3 linked regions of the Macaca fascicularis genome follow. The protein of the gene in region 3 purifies or fractionates together with the protein of the main gene of each other region. This does not show direct contact. Links are inferred from orthologs where the notes say so. Each region holds a gene or a part of one and is shown on either strand. Other genes may lie near its edges.

Region 1 (4,400 bases), on a different chromosome or scaffold from region 3:
GGCTCTATGGCCCAGGCTGGAGTGCAACCATGTGATCTCGGCTCAATGCAACCTCTGCCTCCCAGGCTCAAGCGATCCTCCCACCTCAGCCTTCCTAGTAGCTGGGACTACAGGCACGCACCACCAAGCCTGGCTCATTTTTTTGTTTTGTTGGGACAGGGTTTTGCCATGTTGCCCAGGCTGGTCTCTAACTCATGAGCTCAAGCGATCCGCCCACCTTGGCCACCCAAAGTGCTGGGATTTCAGGAGCGAGTCACTGTGTCCGGTCAAGAACTTGTTTTTTAAAAAAGAGATGGCCGGGCGCGGTGGCTCAAGCCTGTAATCCCAGCACTTTGGGAGGCCGAGACGGGCGGATCACGAGGTCAGGAGATCGAGACCATCCTGGCTAACACGGTGAAACCCCGTCTCTACTAAAAAATACAAAAAACTAGCCGGGCGAGGTGGCGGGCGCCTGTAGTCCCAACTACTCGGGAGGCTGAGGCAGGAGAATGGTGTGAACCCGGGAGGCGGAGCTTGCAGTGAGCTGAGATCCGGCCACTGCACTCCAGCCTGGGCGGCAGAGCCAGACTCCGTCTCAAAAAAAAAAATAAAAATAAAAAAAATAAAAATAAAAAAGAGTTACACTTCAGGGTTGATATGGAGATGAATAGGAAAGAATGTACTTCCCAAGTGTTCAGTTCTTTTCTTACCTCACATTCTTAAGTTTTCTGAGAAGCAAACACATGCTTTAATGCAAAACTCATTTCACACCTTCTATATTCAACATTATCCTCCCTATTTCCTGTTTTGGGTAGAATTACTTAAGTAGAAATGGCAGAGACTGGGTTTTCTTTATCTTTTGTTGCAGTTAATGACAAGAGACAACCAACCTTAGAGAAATACATACAATGACGCCAGTGACTCACGCCTGTAATCCTGACACTTTGAGAGGCCGAGATGGGCGGACAGCTTGAGCTCACAAGTTCAAGACCAGCCTGGGCAACATGGTGAAACCTCGAAATCCCCTCTACTAAAACTACAAAAATTAGCCGGACCTGTTGGCAGGCGCCTGTAATCCCAGCATTTGGGAGGCCCAGGCAGGCGGATCACTTGAGGCCAGCAGTTCAAGACGAGCCTGACCAACATGGTGAAACCTCGTCCCTACTAAAAATATAAAAATTAGCCGGGTGTGGTGGCGGGCGCCGGTAATCCCAGCTAATCCAGAGGTTGAGGCAGGAGACTCGCCTGAACCCAAGAGGCGGAGGCTCAGTGAGGTGAGATCGCGCCACTGCACTCCAGCATGGGCTACAGAGCGATGATGTCTCCAAAAAACAAAACAAAAGTGCAGGTTTGGGAGGTAGTCTAATCCCCCACCCCTTCAGAACAAGGTAATTTCCTCAGGGCCGCAGTTTACCAAAGGTGGTACACTCTGGGGTGCTATCCTTTCCATTTTTTACAATCCCTGACCCTGGAATTCCCTGATGCTTTATCCTGTCTTTCAAATTAGGGCCACTGGTTTCGTCCCCAGTTCACCCCTTCATCGCTAGCTCACATGCCCTTTGTGGTCCTTCTTTCTCCAAACCTCTTCAGGTCAAGTCCTTAGAGGACCTTCAACCTGACCAGCCCCCTTGGTTCTGGTGCTACAGCTGGACTCCTCATGCTCTTTCAAGTACCATCCATTGGGAACGTGGTGTACTTTAGAAAACGCGGACCTGGCCTACGGCTTGTCTCCGCGGGGACAAGGCCACCGCTTCCAAGACAAACCAGCCCTGGCACCACCTTCTCACCTCCATCCCAAACCCTCCTCCTCAGTCCCAGGCCCTGTGGAGACAGACTTCCGAGGGCCCTAGAGCCTCAGACTTGTGGAGGCCTCGCCCCAAAGTATGTAAAGAATATAATAAATGCCCCCGACCTTAAGTACAATTCATAGCTAGATGGCTTACGTTGCGGCTGACAGCTTACATTTTGGTAGGCTAATTAATTTCGATTTACAATTGGTTTTCCCTTTTGGTGGTCAAGACGCTATTTCTGGCCTCAAAGAGCTTCGAGGCCTGGCACTGGCGCCTCCAGGGTCTAGAGGAGAAGGCGGGTCCGCGTCAGACCTCCCGCGACGGCCCTTCCACGCCTCCCGTTGCTCGTCTTTTCACCACCCTCCACTGTTGCTCCCTTCCCACCAGCATCCCCTTCCTTCTGCCTTGCCCGGCCAGGCCCCCACACCCCCTGGTACCAGCCTGCCCACCCCGCGGCCCGCTCGCCTGGGACTCCCCTTAGTTCTGGGCGCCGTACCTTCCTGGCTCGAAACCTCCCTTTCGCCCCGCCCCACGCAGAGCGCCCCAACCCACAGCCCCGCCTCCTCGCCGCAGCCTCAGCGGAGTTCGGGACTGCGCGCGCTCCAACTCCGAAATCTTCGCGCCACGCCTCCCACAAGCCCCGTCTCACCCTCAGCCCCGCCCCCTCGCCGCGACCACAGCGGAGTTCCCGGGCGCGCGCTCCTACCCCGAGCTCTTCGCGCCACGACTCCGACAGGCCCGCCCTGCCCTCAGCCGCGCCCCCCGCGCCGCCGCGGCCTCCGCAGAGTTCCCGGGCGCGCTCGCTCCTACCCCGAGCTCTTCGCGCCACGCCTCCCACAGGCCCCACCCCGCCTCAGCCCCGCCCCCTCGCCGCGGCCTCGGCCCCTCCTACCCCTAGCTCTTCGCGCCACGCCTCCCACAGGCCCCGCCCGCCCTTGACCCCGCCTTCTCCAGCTCCCATTACTTCGCGGGCCAAGATGCGCAACCACTCCCGAGCGCCTTTCCCAGGGCAGTCCCAGGACTTGCGCTGCCTACCCTCCCCCAGCTCAGCTGTATCCCTGGGGCCCGCAGGACCCAGGGGATCCGCCCTCCCGCGAGCACGCACGCGCAGGGCCCACCTCTGCTAGTTCCAAACCCTCGGCCCTCGGGTCGCCTGCCTGGGGCCCGGCCCCGCCTCTAGACCCGGCCCCGCCTTCGTGCCGGGGCCCGCGCACGCGCGCCTCCCCGGCCCAGCCTTGCCCCCGTCCCCGCCGGTCCCGCGGTCCCACAGCGCCTGGTTGCCCCCAGCCCTCTCCCTCCTCCCACCCTCGCTGTGTCCCACCCTCCCTAGCTTTGTGCCCGGGGTGCTGAGCCGTTCCCCGTCAGCCGCGCCGCGGGAGGAGGGAGCCGCCACAGAGGAGCTGCCGCTCGCTGCCCCGGGCAGGGGCACAGGTAGGTGGCGGCCGCGGGCCGGGCCGCTCGCGGGGCCCCGGGTTGCGTGTGGGAGCGGGGGCGGGGTGTTAGGGAGCGGCGGGGTGGGGGAGGGGAAGCCCGAGAGGGACGGCGGGGCGCGGGTTGAGGGGAGGATGAGGTATATGGGTGTGGACGATGGATTTAAGGGTGGCGTAGGGGTGCGGGGGCAGGCTATGGGGACGTGTGAGAATTGGGGTTCGGGGCCGGGGTGGGATAGGGAGCAGGATTAGCCTGGGTGGACTCGGGGAGAGGCACGCGTGGGGAGAGAGCGGAACGAAGGCATGCGTGGGGAGAGAGCGGGAAGAAGGAATGGGGAAAGGAAATGGGATTTTAGGGGTTCAAGGAGGAAAAGAGCTAGGATAGGAATAGAGAGGGTGGGGTCTTGGGGACAGGGAAGAAAAGTTGGGGGTGTGGAATGCCAAGTTAGGGATAGGCGTGAAGGAAGAAGGTCTTGAAGATTGAGAACAGAAGGCAAGGAAAGGGTTGGAGAGATTGGGGGCCTAGGAGAGGGAAGCCCCTAGAGTGGGAAGACGGGAAGAATAGATGGTGGAGGGAAGGAGTGGGGGTGGAGGAGTTGGGGAAAGAAAGGGAGGCAGGTGGAGGTTGGGAGATTGGAGGTTGGAAGGGTTGGGTCTGTGGAACAAGCAAGCCACCTTTCAGCAGGAGCACGGAAGGGCTGGAAGGGTCTGAGGCTTGAGGCGGGCAGGGGAGCTGAGGTGAGCGAAGGGAGTGGGGTTAGGATTTTTGGTGTGAGAAGCGCTAGAGTTGTTAAGAGTCACATTGTGGGAGAGATTGGCATGTTCTTGGGGGGCAGTAGGGAGCCTGAGAGAGGAAAAGGTATGGATGAGAAGGCAGTAAAGTGCATATTATAGGAAAAAAGTAGTGAGGAAAGTTGAAAATTGAAGAATGGGGACACACAGAACAATGAAGGTGGATTGTTGGTTATTGCTGGTTTAGAACTACCCACAGTTTAGTTTCTGTTCAGGTTTTTATTTAGAAATTTTCCCAAGAATACTGCATTTTCAGATAAACTAAGTGTGGGCAGCCTTGGGATGAAGGCCATGGGCTGGCAGATGTTCTCCTGGTATATAGATGTAGCTCATTTTGGGCCTGGCAGAGGGAAGAAGGGAGGCCTCGTTGTAACTGTCTTGGCTCTGTTCCCACCAGCTCTTTCCCTAG
Region 2 (4,260 bases), on a different chromosome or scaffold from region 3:
TTAATCAACCAAGCAGCAAGAGTACAAAACATGTAGAACTGTTCACCAGGGTTGGTAGGCAGTGCAAAATAGTGTCTGTTTCGAAACAAGGAGGAATGGGGGTGTATGTGAAATAATGCAAATAAGTCTATAATAACTAATAGGGCCGAATTCACAACTGTCCAACAATCTTTCTTCCCCCCAATGGCCATCAAATCAAAAGGCCTCGATAATTCACCCTTTCAAGTTTCCAGTAATCCACAGCACTCACATTAAATTTTTAAATCATCAGGATTAGCGCAATTACTACTGTACTCAAAATATGAGATCAAAGACCTTACACCCGGGAAATGTAGTGCCTGTTAGAGCACAGAGCATGTAGAGTTTTTGTCAAAATGATTTAAGTGTCAGTAATAATATGTTAGTACCTTATTAACGAAAATGGTAATCTGGAAGAACCTCAGAGTTTAAAAGAGATCTCAAAAGATTACTCATTATGCATTTTTACTCTTTCTAACCTATCACCTATGGTAAACATTTGTTTTTATCTTGGCTGCATATTCAATCACCTGAGGAGCTAATAAAAATACTGGTACTTGGCCAAACATTGCTTCTTCCCTCATGAATGAATTAAATCAGAACTTCAGTGAGTGTAGGCCCAGTATGGGGTATATTTCAAAAGCTTTCTACATGTTTATAAGGTGTAGTCAGGATTAAGAAACTGTGAATGTCACATCACCAATCTAAAAATCATCTGTGGGCTCTTGCTTAATCCCCTGGTCTGCTAAACACAGTTCTATGAGGATCAGTATGATTTATACCTAAACATTATAGGAATAAAACTCACTAGCAACAACATTCAAGTCAGTTTAATCAAAGATCTTATTTTTCTTGTTCATGTGTAGCTATCATTATTATGTTTGCAATGTATTTACAACAATTATAATCATTGTCATAAAAATCAGTCGTGTACTCCTTCATGTTTCCCAAACTTTATCCTGCAGGATAAGTGTAAACGTTCTGGAAGATAACAGAAAGCTGGGAAGAAAAAAGGCCATGAAGTCCTTCCAGGTATATGCTAACTATCCTTTCAAAGCATCCACCCACCAAAAAGTCATCTTTTCGTTATTGGCAGATAACTCCTCTAGAGCACAGGAATGAACACCAATAGATACTGTAAACCTAGGACAGTGGTTCTCAAATATTAGTGTCCATCAGAATCATCTGGAAGACTTACTGAAACAGACCACTAGTCCCCATCCTTATAATTACTGAAAAGGTAGATAGACCTGGGAAAGGGCCTGAGGCATTTCAGTTCTAGTAAGTGCCCAGGTGATGCTGATGCTGTTGGTCTGGTGATCACACTTTGAGAACCATTAGACTAGGATATTCCCACACAAATCCATGATTCAAAGTGTCCTGCTGAACCCCTGAAGACACAGAGATGACATCAACAGAACCTTAAGGTCATTTTCTTTTCATTTGAAAAATACACTTGGAAAAAAATGCATTTTTATTAATACAGGAAATGTTGGTTGTCTATATATCCTGATCGATTCACTTTAATAATCCCAGGACTACCTTTTCTAACATGGATCAAGCAACACTACTTTTTTCCTTTATCTTTTCTCCGACTATGGACTAATTTAATATGAACAGTTTACATAAAGCCTACATATCTTTCAATTCAATTTATTGGAAGAGAGCAGTGGAATGAGATTAAAACTATCAAGGGAAATTATTTGAGCCTGGCTGTAGACATTAAGTACTATAGATTCTTACTATTGATTGCCTTTTATGGAATAAAATAAACGTAAGTATTAAAGTGAAAGAAAAGCTATAAAACTGATTTACCTGGCTACTGCTAAGCTACAGTGATTTGAGGAGAAGGTCCTAGCCGACCACTACCCTCAGCAAGTAATGGCACTGCGTTCAGGATATGTTGGACTTCTCCCCCACCGGAACAAGGGTAGAACTTTAGGTTCTATGATAGGAGACAATTCAATAGTTGTCATTCGTCTTTTCCACTTTTCAGTTTCTGAGAGTATGGTTATTGCAAAGGCAGAAGTCTTTTAAACCATAGCAAGTAGTTAACAAGTTTACTAGCCGCATTTAAAGCGCTCCTTAACAGGGTCGTAAGTACCCACGGTCCCCAGTTGTATAAACAGGGTCTTAAACAACAACAACAAAAAAACCCCAAACTAGAAAAAAAGCCTTAAGTGATAATGGCATTCCTCTCTGGAGACGAGATTTTGGGCGGTTTTATAATTTTTCTAGACATTTTCTTGTGTTTTTCTGAGTTTTCTACAATGAGTATTTGTTTTATCTTTACAATCATAAAATACAGTTTGTGTTTTGTGGTAATGCGTGTGTGTTAAACAACAACAACAACAACAAAAAAACAGGCAAGCTGTCTTCCAATCCTTTCTGCCGTTCCAAAACTTATTTATTCTCTCTACAAAAACAGCAAGTCAGGGCTGCGTGAGCTCCACGGACCTCCCCGGAGTTTGGAGTGAAGTGCCCTTCTCTGGCTAGGCAGACGGAGGCAATGAATTGCTAACCCGCTCTCACGGAATTGGTTCCCAGCAGGACCAAGGAGGGCATCTCCCTGGAGGCTAGCAGGCACCCAGGCGCTTGGGGACACCGGCACCCACCTGGACGGGGCCTTCAGGTTGCTCTTCCGGAGGAACTCCTCCTCGTAGCGGAGCAGCTTCAGCTTCTCCACCAAGTCCTCCATCACCACGAACATGTGGTAGGCCGCGCCGGGCCCCCGCTCCACGACCACTTCCCCGGTCCCTTCGCCACGGGACCTAGGCACCCCATCTTCCAAACCCGACGTCGTGACGACGGCCAGGGCAGCAGTCATCGCAGGACGGACAGAGTGCAGCGTGGGCTCAGGCCCACAGACCTCTGCGGCCTAAGCCGCCAGCCCTGCAGCAGCCAGTACAGCCACGACCGGTTACCAGGCGACCACCGGACAACCCGTCACCAGGGAAACTAGACTCCGCCTCCTTCCCTCCAATCAGGGCGGCTTTCCTGAATGACGTCGCCCGTGGCCCGCCTCTTGCCCTGCCTCCGCGGAAATGGTGGTCGGGAAGCAGCACCGCCCCTCATGGAGGCGTGGTGTTCGCGCCCCACCCCCCGCTGCCTCTCCTCCCTCGGCTTCTGGAAGACTGAGGAGAGGCGGCTAGTGACTCTGAGCTGGCTTGAGGTGTGTTGGACCTGGTGGTTGCTAAAGGCAACTAAGCGGGCATCTGGGTCAGCTAGTAGCTGTTAAAAAGATTAAAGGGAGGTGAAGACGTGCAGTATTGAAGGCTGCACTGGCCCACTGATACCTTTATTTTCTCAGAATTGAGAAGCTGTTCATAGTTGTAAAGATAGTCAATACCATAGGTTTCACTTTTACTGCAGGAACTTTCCAACAAGAGGTTTCTCTCGTTCTTTCTTTTTTTAATTTTATCTTTCTCTCACTAGGCAATGCTGCACATAACAGTATACTGTAGAGCTTGAAGTACTGTATTGCATTGCCTGGCTATTACTCCAGTGCTAGGAAAGTGGTTGGAAGGATGAGGAAGAAGACAACGAACAAAAGGAGGCATTTGGGAGGCTTTGTTTTACTTCAAAAACAAGAATACTAAGCTTCCAGCCTGCTGCTTAATCTGTTTCAAACCCATAACATGTAGTATAAAGTTTTTGGGTACTTCGTTAAATCCAGCAGAATAGAGATGGTCTTAAAAGGAATTTCCCTGCCCTAAAGCTCTAAGTGTGGCTAAAGATAGGGTGTTACTACTGTATTCTGCAGTTATTGACCTAGAAAATTCAAGAAAAGGTACATAACTGACCACAGAAATGGCCCAGCTTTACAGTTTTCAAAAGGATTGTGTATCGGGCAATTTTCTTAACAGTTGCAAAAAATGAGGTAAGTGGTGGATGCCTGGCAGTTTTTTGGAAGAAAACTTAATACAAGAGATTGAACATATATGTTCGTGTTTATAACGTGACTTTCAAGGGCTCACTGATCTCTTTCTTGTGTCTGCCACTACAAAGTATAGAAGGGCCACATTTTTGGATAACTGAAATTTGAAATGTATCTACAATATCCTGTTTTTGTTAGAAAAATGAGAACACACTTTTCATTTTAATCCGTCTACAGCTAACTTGTTTCTGATACTAATAAGGTTATCAAAGTGAAAAGTCAGTAGGGCAAATACCATTTGCCCTATTCATTAAAGAAAGGAAGTATTTAAAATTACATTCATTAAAGTATTCATTAAAGAAAGG
Region 3 (2,379 bases):
TCACCACTCCATGAGCATCCTTCATCAGGGCTGGCCAGCAGGACTCAAACCTGGGAGGAAGAAAAGGAACAAGAGGGAAAGTCAGGTCATTCTGGTTTCTAACTGTGGACTTTAAAAAGAATATCTTGGCCGGGCGCGGTGGCTCACGCCTGTAATCCCAGCACTTTGGGAGGCCGAGGCGGGCGGATCACAAGTTCAGGAGATCGAGACCACGGTGAAACCCCGTCTCTACTAAAAATACAAAAAATTAGCCGGGCGCGGTTGTGGGCGCCTGTAGTCCCAGCTACTCGGGAGGCTGAGGCAGGAGAATGGCGTGAACCCGGGAGGCGGAGCTTGCAGTGAGCCGAGATCGCGCCACTGCACTCCAGCCTGGGCAGAGCGAGACTCCGTCTCAAAAAAAAAAAAAAAAAAAAAAAAAAAAAAAAAAGAATATCTTAGTATTAAAAGTTGGTCTATAACAGCCTGGGCGTGGTGGCTCACTCCTGTAAGCCCAGCACTTTGGGAGGCTGAGGCGGGTGGGTCACGATGTCAGGAGATCGAGACCATCCTGGCTAACACGGTGAAACTCCATCCCTACTAAAAATACAAAAAAGTTAGCCGAGCATGGTGGTGGGCTCTTGTAGTCCCAGCTACTCGGGAGCCTGAGGCAGGAGAATGGCATGAACCCGGGAGGCGGAGCTTGCAGCAAGCTGAGTTTGCACTACTGCACTCCAGCCTGGGTGACACAGCGAGACTCCATCCCAAAACAACAACAACAACAACAAAAAAGAAACAGTTGGTTGATGACTTTTTTTTTTTTTTTTTTAAGAGACAGGGTCTTGCTCTACTTTTTGTTGCCAACAGCAACAAAAGTAGGAGGTGGGTGATGGCTGGGCAGTCTTTTAAAATTGTGCAGTTGTGAGATCATAGCTCACTGCAGCCTCCAACGTGGGCCCGAGCGATCCTTCCGCCTCAGCCTCCTGAGTAGCTAGGACTACAGGTGTGCACCACATCAGGCCAATTTTAGTTTTTTTAAAGGTTGATGATTTCTTCATTTAAAAAAAATTGTTATTATTTTTTGAGGTAAGAGTCTGGCTCTGTTGCCCAAGCTGGAGTGCAGTAGCAACGTCTACCTCCCAGGTTCAAGTGATTCTCCTGCCTCAGTCTCCTGATGTGGCTGGGATTATTGGTGCACACCACCATACTGGGCTAAGTTTTGTATTTTTAGTAGAGACGGGGTTTTGCTATGTTGGCCGGGCTGGTCTCAAACTCCTGAGCTCTGGTGATCTGCCTGCCTCGGCCTCCCAAAGCAGTGGATTACAGGCGTAAGCCATGGTGCCTGGCCCCTATTTTTTTTTTTAAAAGATGAGGTTTCATCATGTTGGGCAGGCTGGTCTTGAACTCCTGACCTTAGGTGATCTGCCTGCCTCGGCCTCCCAAAGTACTGGGATTACAGGCGTCAGTCACTGTGCCTGGCCAAGGTTGATGACTTCTAACTGCATCATAACCTAATCACTGAAGTGTATAAAGCAATGCATGTCAGCAAATAATTTATCAAGCTCCTCATATGTGCCAGGAAACATGCTAGGCCCAACTTCATGGTGCCTGATGGGCAGCTGATTTTTTTTGTTTGGTTTTGTTTTTTGAGACGGAGTCCAGCTCTGTCACCCAGGCTGGAGTACAATGGTGCGATCTCCGCTCACTGCAACCTCCGCCTCCGGGTTCAAGGAGTTCTCCTGCCTCAGCCTCCCAAGTAGCTGGGATTACATGTGGCCGCCACCACACCGGGCTAATTTTTCGTATTTTTAGTAGAGATGCAGTTTCACCATGTTGGCCAGGCTGCTCTTGAACTCTTCTCCTCAGATGGTCCACCCCCCTTGGCCTCCCAAAGTGCTGGAACTACAGGTGTGAGCCACCACCCCTGGCCTGGGCAGCTGATTTTTAAACCATTTGATGAAGTGACTTTCTTTAAAGGAAACATACTTAGCATCGCCACCACAGTCCCATAGCTCGAATTCACAGCCTGTGCCTTTGTTGTTGCTGGTAACGTGCGGGTTCTCAAATTCCAGGATCCTAAAAGGAAAAAGAAGAGCAGTAGGCTGGGTGCGGTGGCTCATGCCTGTAATCTCAGCACTCTGAGAGGCTGAGGCAGGCAGATCACTTGAGGTTAGGAGTTCGAGACCAGCCTGGACAACATGGTGAAACCCTCGCTATGCTAAAAATAAAAGAATTAGCCGGGCATGATGGTGGGCACCTGTAATCCCAGCTATTGGGGAGGCTGAGGCAGGAGAATCGCTTGAACCTGGGAGGTGGAGGTTGCAGTGAGCCGAGATTGTGCCACTGCACTCCAGCCTGGGAGACAGGACGAAGAAGAAGAGCAGCAGTAGCACCAATAATGAA

What was found.
Region 1: the proteins of IFT22 (region 3) and IFT25 purify together in Homo sapiens (affinity purification with mass spectrometry; 3 studies listed by BioGRID and IntAct, with this or other methods). This does not show direct contact. The link is inferred for Macaca fascicularis from reciprocal best matches to the Homo sapiens genes IFT22 and IFT25.
Region 2: the proteins of IFT22 (region 3) and IFT57 purify together in Homo sapiens (affinity purification with mass spectrometry; 3 studies listed by BioGRID and IntAct, counting the BioPlex papers as one, with this or other methods). This does not show direct contact. The link is inferred for Macaca fascicularis from reciprocal best matches to the Homo sapiens genes IFT22 and IFT57.

The regions. Positions count from the first base shown.
Region 1 is NC_088375.1:180,729,921-180,734,320, reverse strand, and holds the start of IFT25 (intraflagellar transport protein 25 homolog), read right to left. Parts: upstream 2,948-4,400; 5' UTR 2,734-2,947; intron 2,608-2,733; exon of another isoform or gene 2,419-2,607; intron 2,310-2,418; exon of another isoform or gene 1,923-2,309; intron 1-1,922. UniProt on the Homo sapiens protein: Component of the IFT complex B required for sonic hedgehog/SHH signaling.
Region 2 is NC_088376.1:174,868,514-174,872,773, reverse strand, and holds the start of IFT57 (intraflagellar transport protein 57 homolog), read right to left. Parts: upstream 2,948-4,260; 5' UTR 2,846-2,947; coding exon 2,634-2,845; intron 76-2,633; coding exon 1-75. UniProt on the Homo sapiens protein: Required for the formation of cilia. Plays an indirect role in sonic hedgehog signaling, cilia being required for all activity of the hedgehog pathway.
Region 3 is NC_088377.1:49,966,408-49,968,786, forward strand, and holds part of IFT22 (intraflagellar transport protein 22 homolog), read right to left. Parts: intron 2,053-2,379; coding exon 1,963-2,052; intron 51-1,962; coding exon 1-50. UniProt on the Homo sapiens protein: Small GTPase-like component of the intraflagellar transport (IFT) complex B.